2 linked regions of the Lytechinus pictus genome follow. The protein of the gene in region 2 purifies or fractionates together with the protein of the main gene of each other region. This does not show direct contact. Links are inferred from orthologs where the notes say so. Each region holds a gene or a part of one and is shown on either strand. Other genes may lie near its edges. The genes, in order: ubiquitin thioesterase OTUB1-like and deubiquitinase OTUD6B-like.

The links.
Region 1: the proteins of deubiquitinase OTUD6B-like (region 2) and ubiquitin thioesterase OTUB1-like fractionate together in Homo sapiens (co-fractionation; 4 studies listed by BioGRID and IntAct, with this or other methods). This does not show direct contact. The link is inferred for Lytechinus pictus from reciprocal best matches to the Homo sapiens genes OTUD6B and OTUB1.

Annotation. Positions count from the first base shown.
Region 1 is NC_087251.1:24,696,934-24,704,398, forward strand, and holds the start of ubiquitin thioesterase OTUB1-like, read right to left. Parts: upstream 3,260-7,465; 5' UTR 3,147-3,259; coding exon 3,083-3,146; intron 590-3,082; coding exon 537-589; intron 194-536; coding exon 98-193; intron 1-97. UniProt on the Homo sapiens protein: Hydrolase that can specifically remove 'Lys-48'-linked conjugated ubiquitin from proteins and plays an important regulatory role at the level of protein turnover by preventing degradation.
Region 2 is NC_087246.1:61,250,323-61,257,448, reverse strand, and holds the start of deubiquitinase OTUD6B-like, read left to right. Parts: upstream 1-4,077; 5' UTR 4,078-4,154; coding exon 4,155-4,209; intron 4,210-5,494; coding exon 5,495-5,661; intron 5,662-6,465; coding exon 6,466-6,558; intron 6,559-7,126.

The sequences.
Region 1 (7,465 bases), on a different chromosome or scaffold from region 2:
AAACCACTTATCTTGGCTCCTTTGAGAATGCTTTTTTTATTACCATGGGTAATAAAAGTGGTTACATATACATACAATTATTACATACAATACTTACTTCTACTTTCTGACAGTAAACAGGATCACTTTTGAATTCATCTGTGAGAACAGAAAGTGGTAGCTTCTCACTAATAAGTTGGGTGGACTCTTTTATCTAAGTGGAAGAGAAAATATATACAAACACATATTAAATACACACAATAAATGTTTGATTCCTAATATCATACTTCTGTGATGAATAGAAACTAGATCGATAGTGGACTGTTTGTACTAAAAATAAATGATTAAAAAGTCCATAGAAATTTCTACAATTCAGTAGATCTGATATAAGTGGTAAAAGTCTAAGCCATCAAATTTTGATAGCAATTAATTGCCCATGTCAATGTTATATCAAAGATCAAAAAGCTAAATAAAACAAAGAAATAAACAGAGAGAATGAATGATATACAATTTATTTGATTCATGGTAAGAAAAAAAAATGTCAATTTGATAAATACCTCTTTCTCAAGTTTATCCTGATGTGCTAATATTGCCTCATCTCTTGCCATGCCTACAGAAAATAAATCACACGTAAATGGATTACCGATTAGACATATTCAACAGGAAGTTGCCTTGAATAATAATCATAATCTAAAAAAAAAAAACATTTGAAAAAAAAAATTCACTCTACATCCATCCTACGGTTAGCCTAAAAATTGGTGATTTAGAGCCAACATCGAGTTCCTCACATGTGTAAATAATTCACTGCCGATTTCAAAACATTGCATGCGCGAGGGTCTGAGCTCGTTGATATGATTAAACTTCTTGATTGTTTTATTTTGCCAAATAAATTGAAGAGAATTGAATTGAAACAAAAACATTTTCATGCGAAAATGATTTAAATTAGTGAGTGATGAAAGGATTTATCTTGGCCAGTTCAAATAGTAGAACAGCACTTCATCACATACATACCAAACAAATTTTAATGTAAACACCAATGTGCGCTACCATAAACACACTGAAAGAGACAAGTTCGGGATTTCTTCGAACCCCCTGCATAACTTGGATAACGGAAAATAACAAAAAGTTCTGTAATAAAAGTAATTTTTTCATATTTCAACATCATAATGGATCCGAATAGATAGATATGATACGTACATAGTTTAATGTAAATGATATAATAGCAATAGTGTTAAGTTTTCAGAGCGATATACCTCATTGCAGCTAATCCAAGTGGATGTCAGGTTCCTAAACTAGTTTTTATGGTAACGGTTACCGCAAGAATTTGGAAATGTGCAGCAAATCAGGGATTTAAATTTATAGGCGTTTCTTACATGTAGGTACCATTCTATCGACGTGTTTTGAAGGGGAAGTTCATCCTGACAAATGGAATATGGTAAAAATAGCAGAAAAATGAAGTGAAAGTTTACAGAAACCAGATCAAAGATTAAGAAAGTTATTGGAAGTTTGAGTTTTTGATATGTGACATCATCATACGAGCAGCTGCCCCGTATTTTATGCACCAAAATGTATACTTTTGTAATCAGTTCATGATTGCTAAAAAAATCTTTCAGGAGCGGATGTGAAGGGATTTGTATGTTGATATACTGAAGGTACAATAAAAACCATTTTAATTTTTTTCTTAAGAAAATGACATTTCAGTGATATCTTTTATTACACCACATATGGAAAAACTGCTCGCAAATGACGTCACCATTAAAATTAGACCAAAAGCTTCGGTCTCTGTTATGTTGGTTGTTCAGCTGAACTCCGTTGGCTTCACTCACCAAATACAGAGACCGAAGTTCTAGCGCGATCTGTACAGGGGACTCAATGGCCATATGTTTAGGTACTTAAGATCGGATAAAACGGGGAAGTGAATTTGCGCGACAGCCGAGGTAAGTCACTGTTTTTGTTCCTTTTAACTTGATTTTCTCCGTTTTTGGGCAATTAATGCCAAGAGGGAATATTGATTTGCATTTTGGTCGCGTTAATTTTCAAAATTTTTATTCATTAAAGACAAAAATTGAAGAGCCCCGACGGGGGGATTTCGCATTGCAAGTCCCCTAATGGTGGCTGCACGCTAGCGAGCCGTCTGTGTACGAGGAGAATAAAAATAAAAAAAATGTTAAAAAACTCCTCGAAACAGACGGCTGCCAGCTGTCTACATTAAAATATAAAATTCTAATAGCTTTTTTTAATCTTTGGATTCCCTAAAACCCTCACCAATATCATTTCAATAATTTTCTATTTATACAATAAACTTAATGTCAGGGTAAATTTCCTCTTTAATGTATTATAACAATATAAGTACAATATTTGGGATCCAAAGTGTGCTGAAAATTAGAAGAGCGATTTGACATGAGAAGGCCGTGCATGTAATTCAGGAAAAAAAAAGAAATACTAATTCAAGTGTTATCAATTTGATGCAGAAGATCTAAAGTATGATTTAAAAATGTCACCCTTTCCATTTATAGTCCGACATTATAATTCTTATTTTCTTCTCAGAACCTTTCTTATTTAATCTACTACATGGAGGGACTTTGGGATTTTTTTGGCATGGGATGGGGGTTTGAGACTGGCCATTTATACCTCCGTCATTTTTACCTCTGCCATTTTACTTTTACCATTTTTACCTCTGCCATTTTTACCTTTGCCATTTTTACCTTTGTCATTTTTACCTTTGCCATTTTTACTTCTGCCATTTTTACCTCTGCCATTTTTGCCTTTGCCATTTTTACACCGAACTGGTGTAGCGTTGTGTAGTGAAGCCTGCATGAACATCACTTGAGGTAACATGTAGCATACTATACTAACCTCCATGACCTCATACTACTACTAGTGTGAGTGGGAGTAGCTTAGATCTAGTCTACTCGGAGTCTACTATGTCGACTGCGTGTATAAGAAATCACACGGGCCTGAGTGGACGGTCGGAACTCCAGTCCAGAGAGTCCAGTCCAATCAACTCAGTGAGTCAGTCAAATGAGAAAATTTCACCTTATCCTATACATCACATTTTATCTCCTAAGTTTTGACAAAACAATTCAATCGACAGAAGACGTACCTGTGAGTTGTTCAATTTCTTGATCTACAGGCAAAGATGAAGGATTTCCTTCTTTATTCGCCATTCTTTTGGCAGAAAATCGAAGTGTTTCTGTATTACGTGAAGAAACAAAATGATTATGACGGAGGGTGGCGTGTAGATAACAAATCGATAAGAAAAATCAGATCAAAGCAAAGCAACAAAGACATTTTTTAATGAGTTTCAAGGGGGGGGGGGGGGGTGGGGGGCATGTTAGCCGGCAGAAATATTCAGCCGTTTTTTTTTCTCAAAACTTATTTTTTTCATCTTGATTTGGTATATTTTCTGTATACTCAACGTGATACTAAAGGAATTGGAGTCACATAGCCCCCCCCCCCCCCCCAATTTTAGAAATATAAAGACGTTTAAAAAAGCAAGTACCGGTACCGGTAAATCCATTTCCATAAAAAAAAACAATGACACAGATTTCTCATTTACTAAGAATAAGTAAGAAACTCATTGCATGAGTTGCTTCATTTTGTCACTGATCGGCAGTATAATTGATCTTCTATATATCTATATATGTTTTCAGATATCTTGGGATTACCAAGCTATAGATTTAATGATAATAATAATAACAATAATAATAATAATAATGATAATAATAATAATAATAATAATAATAATTTAAATAATAATAACAATAATAATAATAATAAAAACAACAACAATATTAATAATAATAATGATAATAATAATAATAACAATAATAATAATAATAAAGAAGAAGAGTAGTAATAATAATAATGATACTAGCTAACTTACCAATCTGCAGCACTGCTCAAAATTCTGCTGCGGAGCAGGGGCAGCGGAACGTATTTTCGTTGTGGGGGGGGGGGGGGGGAGTCAAAGCAAAAAAGGGCACTTATATGGCAAAAGGGGTATTTTGGAGCAATCGGATATTTTCAACATATATCTGCGTAAAGTGTTGTGTGTTTTGTACGTAGTAATTACGTTGAGCAAAGCCTTTTTGAAGTGATTTCTGATGATAAGATATACATTTAGGCTTTAGAGCGGTTTGGAATATTTTCAAAATCTAAAGTTCTGAAATTCGCTGTTTGGTCAATTATGGCGCTAATTACTGTTAAATAAAGGGGCATCATTGTGAGCGCGAATCGTGAGCTCAAACATTTTGACATGTAATAAGACGTGAAACTTAAACATTCCGAAAAGTTTTTGTTATCATGAAGAAGCTGAAATTTTAAATTTTACTGACCTGATAAGGAATGCACTTAGTGACTGATAAATATTATAAGAGCGCGAGCTGAAAATTTGTTATATTTCAACCTGTAAACTGGACATTCTAAGTACTTTCTGCAACCATCAAGAACAGAATGACTGGGTTGCGAATGCGAAAGGCGAGCCAAGAAATTGTGACATTCCAACCTGAAAAACTGGACATTCTAAGCACTTTTTGTAACCAAGAACAGAAAGAGAATCTTACTAAACAATAACTGATGCGAGCCAATTTTTTTTGTGATTTTCAACCCGCGCTTCTCACTCACATAATCTTTATTGGTCTTATGTGATACATAATCTTGTCTGTGAAAATAAAAGTATTTTTTTCCTCTTCAGTTTGTTGTAGGACTTACCACCTCTAACCCCCTTTAGCAGCCCACCGGGGATTCCCCCCTCCCCTCTATTGGAAGTGCTGGATCCGCCCTCTTCATTATAGGCCTACATGACTTGATGTGTGGGTGTTGACGCACTGGACGAGTGATGAGGAGGGGGGGGGGGTGTTCGTTCGAGGGAACGTGTATGGATGCATGAGGGCGACTGGGGAGGGTGGTGCGTGTGTGTGTGGGGCAGGGGCGTCGATCCATTTTTCAGATTGGGGGGGGGGGGGGCAAAATCATGAATCAACGTTCCACAGGCGCTCGACCACACAAAACAAACAAACTCACCCACTCACCCAAACATACTCATATATATATATATATATATATATATATACAGTGCGTCCCAGAAAAAACGAAACCGAGATTAAGCGATGATTTATCATAACTTAATCACATTAATCACAAATGCAATAGACAAATTACCTTGTTTGTTTGTTTGTTTGTTTGTTTTATTTCCGTATATAAAATAACAGATACAAAGTACATACAAATACATATAACATGAGATGATGAGGTCAATATTAAGATACAATAATAAAAGGTAAAAAATAAAGTAAATTATACGACTGGTAGTCCATATTCAGCTGCAATAATGCATTGCTGCTGGTCTTCCATGGAGCCAGTTTACATACAAAAATGCTATGATTACCATAAAATAAAGAAAGTTGACCATCAGACATATAAGTGAAATCATTAAAAACAAAGAAAAATCATATAAACTACACCTACCCCCCCTCCCCCCGGTACAAATCAGTGGTTTAATTTCATTTAGCACAGATATATTTCAAAAATGTATTTTTAAAAGAATTGAAAGTGCTGGTGACATTACGCACGCACAAAGGGATTCTGTTGAATTTATGCAGCTCGGTAAGAGAAATATCTTTAACAACTATTGGTTCTAGGTCTGGGTAAACATATATTATTTTCATTTCTAAGAGGGTAAGGAGTAACTTTTGTATGAAACAAATTTTTCATATATTCAGTGGACATGTTGTTACAAATCTTATACATGAATAATATCAAGTGAGTATACTGTCTCTTTTGAAAAGTGTCCCAACCAAGAATAGAATGAATTTGAGAGGTTGAAGTGTGTGAATATAACCGCGGTACGGGGTCAATTTTCAAGATTATTCTTCCAGCTCTATTTTGAATTTTTTGAAGTTGGTCAAGTAGAGATTTGTTTGCAGATTGATAGATAATGTCACCATAATCAAAATGAGGTAAAATTATTGAGTTATATATTAACTTTAATTCTGACAAATTTACAAAATGCTTTAGCCGTGCAATATAACCAATCATTCTCCCCAGTTTTTTACATAAATAATTTACGTGATAGTCCCACTTCATGTTTTCATCCACAAAGACACCTAGATACTTAAAGCTATTCACTTGAGTCAGTAAATGACAGTCAATTTTAGTTGTAAATGTTTTGACGTTTTAAGCATTTTTGGTGTTCCAATCAACATGCTTACAGTTTTATCATAGTTTATTTTCAAATTATTCCTGTTTATTCAGACAGATAGACTTTCCAGCTCCTTATTAAGGACGAGTTCGATAACTCTAATATCTTTGTGTGAGAAATATATTACTGTGTCGTCAGCATAAAGGTGTACGGTGCACTCTTTAAATACAGAAATTATATCATCAATAAATAAAATGAACAGTAAGGGTCCAAGGAGAGATCCCTGGGGTACTCCCTTAAAAATGACCCTTTCTTCAGATAAAATTCCATTAATGGATGTACGTATTCTTCTATTAGTCAAATAACTTTTGAACCAATGCAATTCATCACCAGATATACCAATATGTTTAAAGGAAACCAAAACCCAAGAAGAGAAGAAATCTTATTGGAAAAAGTAAAATGAGAGGAACAATTTAAAAAAAGTTTCATCAAAATCGGTTATGAAATAAGCAAGTTATGGGAGTTTGAAAACTCTTGTTGTACTTTCTATGGGCATTCTCAAATTTTTTTTAAATTGTTCCTCTCATTTTACTCTTTCCAATAAGATTGCTTCTCTTCTTGGGTTTTGGTTTCCTTTAAGTTTGGATAGGAGAATTGCATGATCGACCAGGTCGAAAGCCTTTTGAAGGTCAATAAAAATAGCCCCTGTATACTGCCCATTGTCCATAGAATGAAACCAGTCATCCGTTACCTTAGCAAGAGCAGTAATGGTAGAGTGTTTCGGACGGAATCCAGATTGAAAAGCAGAAAGTAAAGAATGAGTTTGAATATAACGAAGCAATTGCTTTTGCACAATTTTTTCCATTAATTTAGACACACAGGGTAGAATCGATATCGGTCTATAGTTGTTAAATTCAAACTTATCACCTTTCTTGTGAATAGGAACAATTTTGGCTACTTTCCATTTCTCAGGTACAACACCATCACATAAAGATTTATTTATCAAGAAAGTAATAGGGCATATGTTTATTAACAACTTCTAATAGCATTATTTCCCACTTATTGACAGCGTCATTAATATCATCAAAATCTTCTATTATCCTCCAGTTTTGATTACGAAGGTCATTTCTGAAAGACTCCAAATCAACATTTCTGGATTTTCTATACCTTATATAAGTTTCACCAGATGAGAATTTTTGTTGGGATTTCCATATAAAATAACTAATGTAATGATCACTCATCCCATTACATAACACACCGTGAGCTTTCACTTTATCCATGTTATTAGTTAACATGTGGTCAACAAGCGTAGAAGACAAATCTGTCACTCTGGTACATGAAGAG
Region 2 (7,126 bases):
TATGTATTGGGATAATGGGTTTGGGGGACATTTTTATAGTACCCGGGTGGATTATATCCGTCGTCACATCGGTGGGTGGTGGTATCATGAATTTCCGCCCAGATTACAATAAAGGGCACATTGTAAGGCAAATACTCATGAAAGAACCATGGAGATTGGTTAATAAGGAAATAGGGCACTTTTATCATCAAATCAGAGGAGATTTTCTTTGTGATAGTGATGTCCGAAGAGCAAACCTAGACTCGTGACGGGTCCATTATGCATACGAGGGGTGCATCCTAGCTTACCACTGCATAGCTAAGTCTGAAAATTAAGTTTTGCTTATTTCTTTCATTTTATAATTATGTTTAAATGTTCAAACAACGATAATTCATGGAAATTGACTCAAAATATTGCGAATCAACGCTGAAACATTATCTGTGTATACATTTTATCCCTCTGTAATGCTATTTACCCCCATAAAGCCGCAATGGAACATTCCGCACCACTAGTCATACGATGATCGCGAGGTCTGCAAACGTCGTCTGCTATGTTTTTACATGTCCGGTACACTGCATACAAGTTTTCGATATGGTAAACCAAATGAGCGATAATGACCGAAACTAACCATTATGGCTGCAAATGATATATTCACAACATAAAACGGACATTTTACGGGGCACTTAAACAAATCAATTTGTAAATCAAACAAAATAATGAAAGCTCGATGTTCGAGCTGAAATATGCTTTGAATATTGACTTCAAAACTTGATACATATCAGCCTATTGAGCAAGATGTGTATCTCATCGAACATGCAATGTGAGAGCGAAAATTTAATATAGTGACATTAAATATTAAAAAAAATCATTTTCCAAGACTTCCCTGACCTTATTTCATTTACTCGTCTCCCTCCTCTTATTTTGTCCTCTTATTTTTCCTTCTTTCTTTCCCCTTCTTTTTCTTTTTGTCTTTCTTTCCCTTTTATTTCTTCATTTTTTGCTCCGCCAATAGGGCCCCTGGATCCGCCTATGCGTATAGCCGTATGTTTCTATATGCGAGAGGGCTTAGCGACCGAGCAAAATAAATTACAAATGCTTGAGAATGATTTCATAACCATTTCAGCACCCATCAGGCCCAGATTGGTGTATAATGTAAATGAGGGCACAGCATGTGTTTTCACTTCATTTAAGAGGGATAATTCTAGAAGGGGGCTTGCAATGATGTTACCCTTTCCAGTTGGCTTTTCATTTATTCATACGGAAGAGAGCCAAATGAAAGAGAAAAAATTCTTACTTTCAAAAGCGATATTTTTAATTTACAGAGATAAGAACTATAACGTAATAGGTATAATATAGAATATAGCAGGGGTGGGGTTTTTAATGTCATATCGGGAACAACCCCCTTTCAGAGGCTTCAATGTGTTAAGGGATGTGGTGACCGGGGAGAAGTGAGCCTAGCATTTTGGAGCATTTTATTATGAACTTCCAAATAAATGTAAATCTGCAACATCTTTAAATTCCTGAATTACTCAACATGCATGCAGATAGGCTGCAAAAGTATACCCAGGATCTCTTCCCATTTATTACATATATTTAGTATACACATTGACTACATGCAGTATTAGAGTCAAATCACTTGAACCTGCATATGAGGCCTCGATCTGGGGAGGGGGCAGGGGCGAACATATCGATTTGTTCCCCAAATAGTTTTGACAATGACATCGGAAAGCACTATAAAACCATTATACTTGACACAAAAATACTATTATACATAGAAAAATTGTCACGGTCAAGATTTCGGGGAACTACTAATTCTCAGTGTTAAAATTTGGCTCTTGGATTAAGCGTGCCGGAAATTTTGGATATTTTTTTTCACCCCACCCAATCCGAAATGATAGGGATCGACAACCCTAAATCCTACCCAGGAGCGGGAATCCTGGGGGGGGGGGGGGGTGCACAGTGCCCCCTCACTTTGAAGCACTGAAAAGTACCCAGTTTTAAGCAAGAAAAAATTAATGTTTTATGTATCTAGATGTTATTTTGAGAGGGAGCGTGTAAAGTTTTGATTTTAGAGGACCAGAAGACAAAAAATGGAATACTGGATTATTCAATACATATACGCAAATATATATATATTTTTTCTTTGTGGTTGAAATTCTTATTTTTTTAGGGATGCACGGGGGTGCATGGGCTTCAGTCCCCAAACCTCCCCTAGAACCGCGCCTGTATGGCGATAAGCCTATTACTGGTCTCATGAGACCAATCAAGAAAAAGCCCAGAAGGATCATTTACCTGCCTGAATCTCAAAATTTTTGTCAAAGATTATTGAACTCATATCGAATATGAAAATAACAACCCATAACATAGGGTAAATGTTTCAAAGTAAAAACTATAGGGGCCTATTTTTTTCGTTTTATTCGTGTTTTTTTTTAGTGTCTGCCGAAAATCAGGCGCAGGCAGTGGCGTACCTAGGATTTTTCACAGGGGGGGGGGCAAAACCGTCCGCCAAAAAAATTGACAAGCAAAAAAAAAAAAAAAGGTCTTCAATCACAAATGAAGGATTTCGTACCTGAAAAAAATTTGACAAGCAAAAAAAAAAAAAAAGGTCTTCAAGCTCGTCAGGGGGGGGGGGGGGCAGACTGCCCTCTCTGCCCCCCCCCGTAGGTACGCTAGTGGGCGCAGGCCTCTACTTATTAGCGTAGTTTTCACTATTAATATTATTTCTACAATTATGGCATTATTTTCAGTTCGATTCCGAACCACATAATGCAATTTTTAGACTGTCTTGTACACCGATTTGTAATTCATTTATTTCAACTTCGTATTATATTTTGTCAATTTACAACAGGTTTTACTGAGAGAATAAAACAATTTGATTATGAATTAGATAATTTTGTTTCGTTTGTGTGTGCTAAAACCATCATGCAAGAAGTATGATAACTCGGACGGTAAGAGAGACCAACGTCTACTTCTAGAAACATAAAATTCCCCTTTTACCAGAAAATATTTCTTTGATCAAGACTTTTCTCCCAGGGACTTAAAAGTGCCCTTAAAATGAGGAAAACAAAATTGACCCTCACTTTGCTGCAATTATGCTGCGCCTCTCTTGCCCATTTCATGCATCCCACTTTCCAGAGAACCGCACACCTGTTGATTTCTTCAGTGTTTCGATCTGGGTTCCAGCACAAATGCATCAATTAATATGAGGCAAATTAAGTTTGCCCCAGTTTGTACTATCATCACTGTCATTTCTTTTACAGAGGTCATGTACAGTACTACCTGAAAATAATTATATCTGTATAAATAAAGTAAAATTCACCGTGAGCAAAATCCTGAAATTTTCATCGAAAAAGTTACGCAGTTTTTAAAGAAAACATTTATATGAACATCGTCATGAATATTCATTAGGTGGGGGTGATGGTGCCTCACAGAAAGTTTATAGTGAAATAGGAAAAAAATAATAACAAATATTGGTGAAGGTTTTAAAAATATTTTATTAGTTTATTTTTTGATTTGTGACGCCTGACGTCATATGCTAGCAGCTTTCCATGTATTTTGAATTTAAAAATCAATGAAATGTCAATTGAAAATTAATTTTATACCTTCAGTAATTCAGCTTCCCCTTTAAGTGGTATAACCGTTGGCTAGCCATGGAATAGACTCTGTTTCATCAAAATAATGTTAATCTTTAAAGTTTAAAATGTCATAACTTCGATCGTTATTAGTTGTCCGATTTTGATCGAATTCCCAGTGTTTTGATTGTCTGATTTTTCTATATCTGTTCAAATCATAGTTCTCTCTCAGCCTGGAGTGCTCCTTCAGAACTTTTCATGCAGTGAAGGTGTCAATAAATTTCCTTACATTTCAGCCGGCGGGAGGAAGGATTTTGAAAGTGGGGAGAAGGGGCCGCAGCATAACATTATTATAATTATTCGATGGTAATCAATTTTCAGAGAAGATTGTAGCCACCCCCATGCAGTTCCACACCCCCTGATTTGCATTTAATTTACATTACACATTTTCACTTAAAAAAAATATCCCAGTGCAGTCTGCGCGCGAGCTCGTTTCAACTCCGATCCACTGCGTACTGTCGTTGTACGTCGGAGTCTCGGAGATGTACTTGTGATCGTGAGCAATCTTCGCAATCAATACTCTCTGAAAGTAATCTCGGAACCATGGATCAAGATGAATTGGAGCAAAAACATCGAAAGGAACGGAAGGATTTGCAAGGTAATTTTGGCACATTTTAATTGTTATCCCGGCAAGGAACAACAACTGTAACTTGATACAGCCGCCAATACATATCATGATTTAAAATGGCTTTATGTTTTTAAATAACAGCCCTAGCCTAGCCAAGTAACAACTGAAGTAGTGACAGTACTAGTAGATCTGTCTTTGGTCCCACAGCACTCTTTTCTTGTCAGCTATCTAGGCTGCTAACTTATCATGGTAATTTTCATCATTTCAATGAACAAGGTTGTTCTCTGTTACTACTCCATGTGGTACAAAAAATGGAAATGATTGGTTTATTTTCTCTTTTTCTTTGAAACAAATGCTTGGTTTTTTGACAATCAGTTTCAAATTCAACACTTGGCTTGTATTTGTTGCAAGTAAATTTGATTCTTTGTTTGATTTTTTATAAATATAAATTAAAAACAGAGATTGAAAAATGACAGTTTTCTGGCCATATTACTTTCCACCAATAGAGGCAATACACAAAAATATGCCAAAAATTCAAGTTCTTGAGTGCTCTGCCTCTGGTGAATACAAAAATTATTTTAAAAAAAAAGGCAAAATACCAATGAAAAATAAATTGCAACTGTATGGAATTGGAAATTAGTATTTTTGCCTTTTGGTCACATAAGTGATATTTCAAATTCAATGATTTTTTTTTAAAGTGTGTGCTGTGTACTGCATTGGCATACCATATAGTCCTACCTGTAGATTCTCCACAGGTAGGATCACTAGGATGGTTGCAGTGAGCAAGTGTTGATTTTGTTATGACTAACAAAATATTTAGTAATACTGTACGTAATCGTACAATGCAGTGACTCTGTCTGATTCAGACAGAGAGAGCAAGGAGAAGAGAAATATGGAGGAGTGAGAGGGAGAGGAAAGGAGGAGGAGAAAGAAAAGAAAAGAGTCAAGAAGCAGAAGGATGGGGCTCAAACTAGTAAACTAAAAAAAAAGACATATGTCAAAGTCCTGAGAGAGAAGGAGAATGAAAAGGATAAGGCTGAGGAAGGTGAATGAAGTATTAAGGAGAGGAATAAAAAAAGAGGAGAGAGAAGGATGGAGGAGAAGGAGGGAGGAGAGAAGAAGATGAATGGAGAAGGAGAGAAGGAGAATTAGGAGGTGGGGAGGGGAGAAGGAGAGAAGGAGAATTAGGAGGTGGGGAGGAGAAAAGGAGGTAGAGGAGAATATTGAAGGCAATATCTTACAAGAAATATGAAGAAAGGAGGAGGAAAACTTGGACATATTAACAATTAAAGGGATGATTTTCAATGTATCACAGCAAAGATTCAAGGAATAAAGAAGGCTGTGCCCAAAGGAGATAAGAAGAGGAAGAAAGAAGCAGCCGAGGAAATTGCTCAATTAGAAGCAGATCTTGACCAGAGGCATCAGGCAGAGCTTGAGGCAAACAAAAACAAGGCAGCTGTTCCCCATGATGTATGTCAGAATGTAAGAAAATAATCTTTTTCTTACCATGTTGGATGGGGGCAGTTTCATAAAGCAGTTCGTAAGTTACGCACGACTGAATAAACAACTAGTGACCCTTTTCATTGGTGTTGATTTTAGCTCTCGTTTGTGAAGATAACTTGAGAAGAACTTTATGAAACACCCACTTGTGTTGTCTAGGTTTTATATACATATAAGGTAATACTAGTATAAGATATATATTTCCTGCTTCTGATGTTATTTAGTGACATGATGAAGAGATCATTGCAGGATCTGTCTGTCAAAGCATTTTAATTGATCCAATCAATCTTACTCCAAAAAGAAAAGAAATTGAGCAGCTATCTCATATTTCTTTTTTTTTTTGTGTGATTGGTGCCCCTTTGTTAAATGAGTCCTAACAATAAAGTATACATGCATTGTGTCTATCACAGCGAGGTCTTGTAATTATTTGCAAACATTGCAGTCATGTACAAAGTATATTGTAACCAAATTGTTGCATTGATTGCACAATCAATTGTGAGCATTCCCTTTACAGGGAAACATTGAGTGGGCATATGCATCCTAGATGGTGCTGTTACTGGTACTAGCTTTTGTTTGACTGTCTTTATGAATTAATCTCATTTTGAGATTGGGTTCAGATGTTATGCTGAAAATGTGACAGCAAGTCTGAGAAGCAAGAGAAGCACACATAGCAATGGAAGAGTAGGGGGGGGGGGGGGTTAAGTCAAAGTGATTAATGAATCTGTAATTTTGTTTTTATTCAATATTAAATTTCTTGTGTATTTTCCAATTTCTTCACTTTTAAAGGAAGCATCAGCAGAAGAAATGCTTGAAAAATTAGACATCGCTGAAGAACCTGAGGATAAATCACAGAAGCTCTCAAAAGCACAGAAAAGAAGAGTGAGTCTGGTGTTTTTCATGACTTTTATTGAAAAGATTATGTTCATGGTTGCCGGGTAGGTAAAATTGTCTACCTGTTAGAGTTATGATTCTGTTGATGACCCTTACCATATCATCCAAAGCAAAAGAATCACTTATGATTTTTTTGTTGTCACGTGATTACCCATAGCAAAATAATCTCATTTGTTTGAAAGAAGATTAAGATCAATTTATTGCCAAGTTATATGAAGAGCTAGTTAAACTAAAACAAGAAAATCAACACAGGCATGATGAAAGGACTTGATAGTGCATCTTTAGAGCAACTCCATCAGTTATTACATTAAACTACTTTCGTGCCAATGGGCAGGTCAAAAGCATTGTTTATGTTGGAATTATTGAGTTTGTATTCATACACTTATCCATTTCTATCAAGGAAATGTGAAATATAATTGTGGCAGAGTCATTATTTTGTTAATGTCATTTCTAAAATTATATTACGTTTTATGGTCTATTTTAGTTCACAGTGAGTGAATTCATTCTATAAATTTTTCTTCCTAAAAACTAAGCCAAACAATGATGTTTTGCCTTG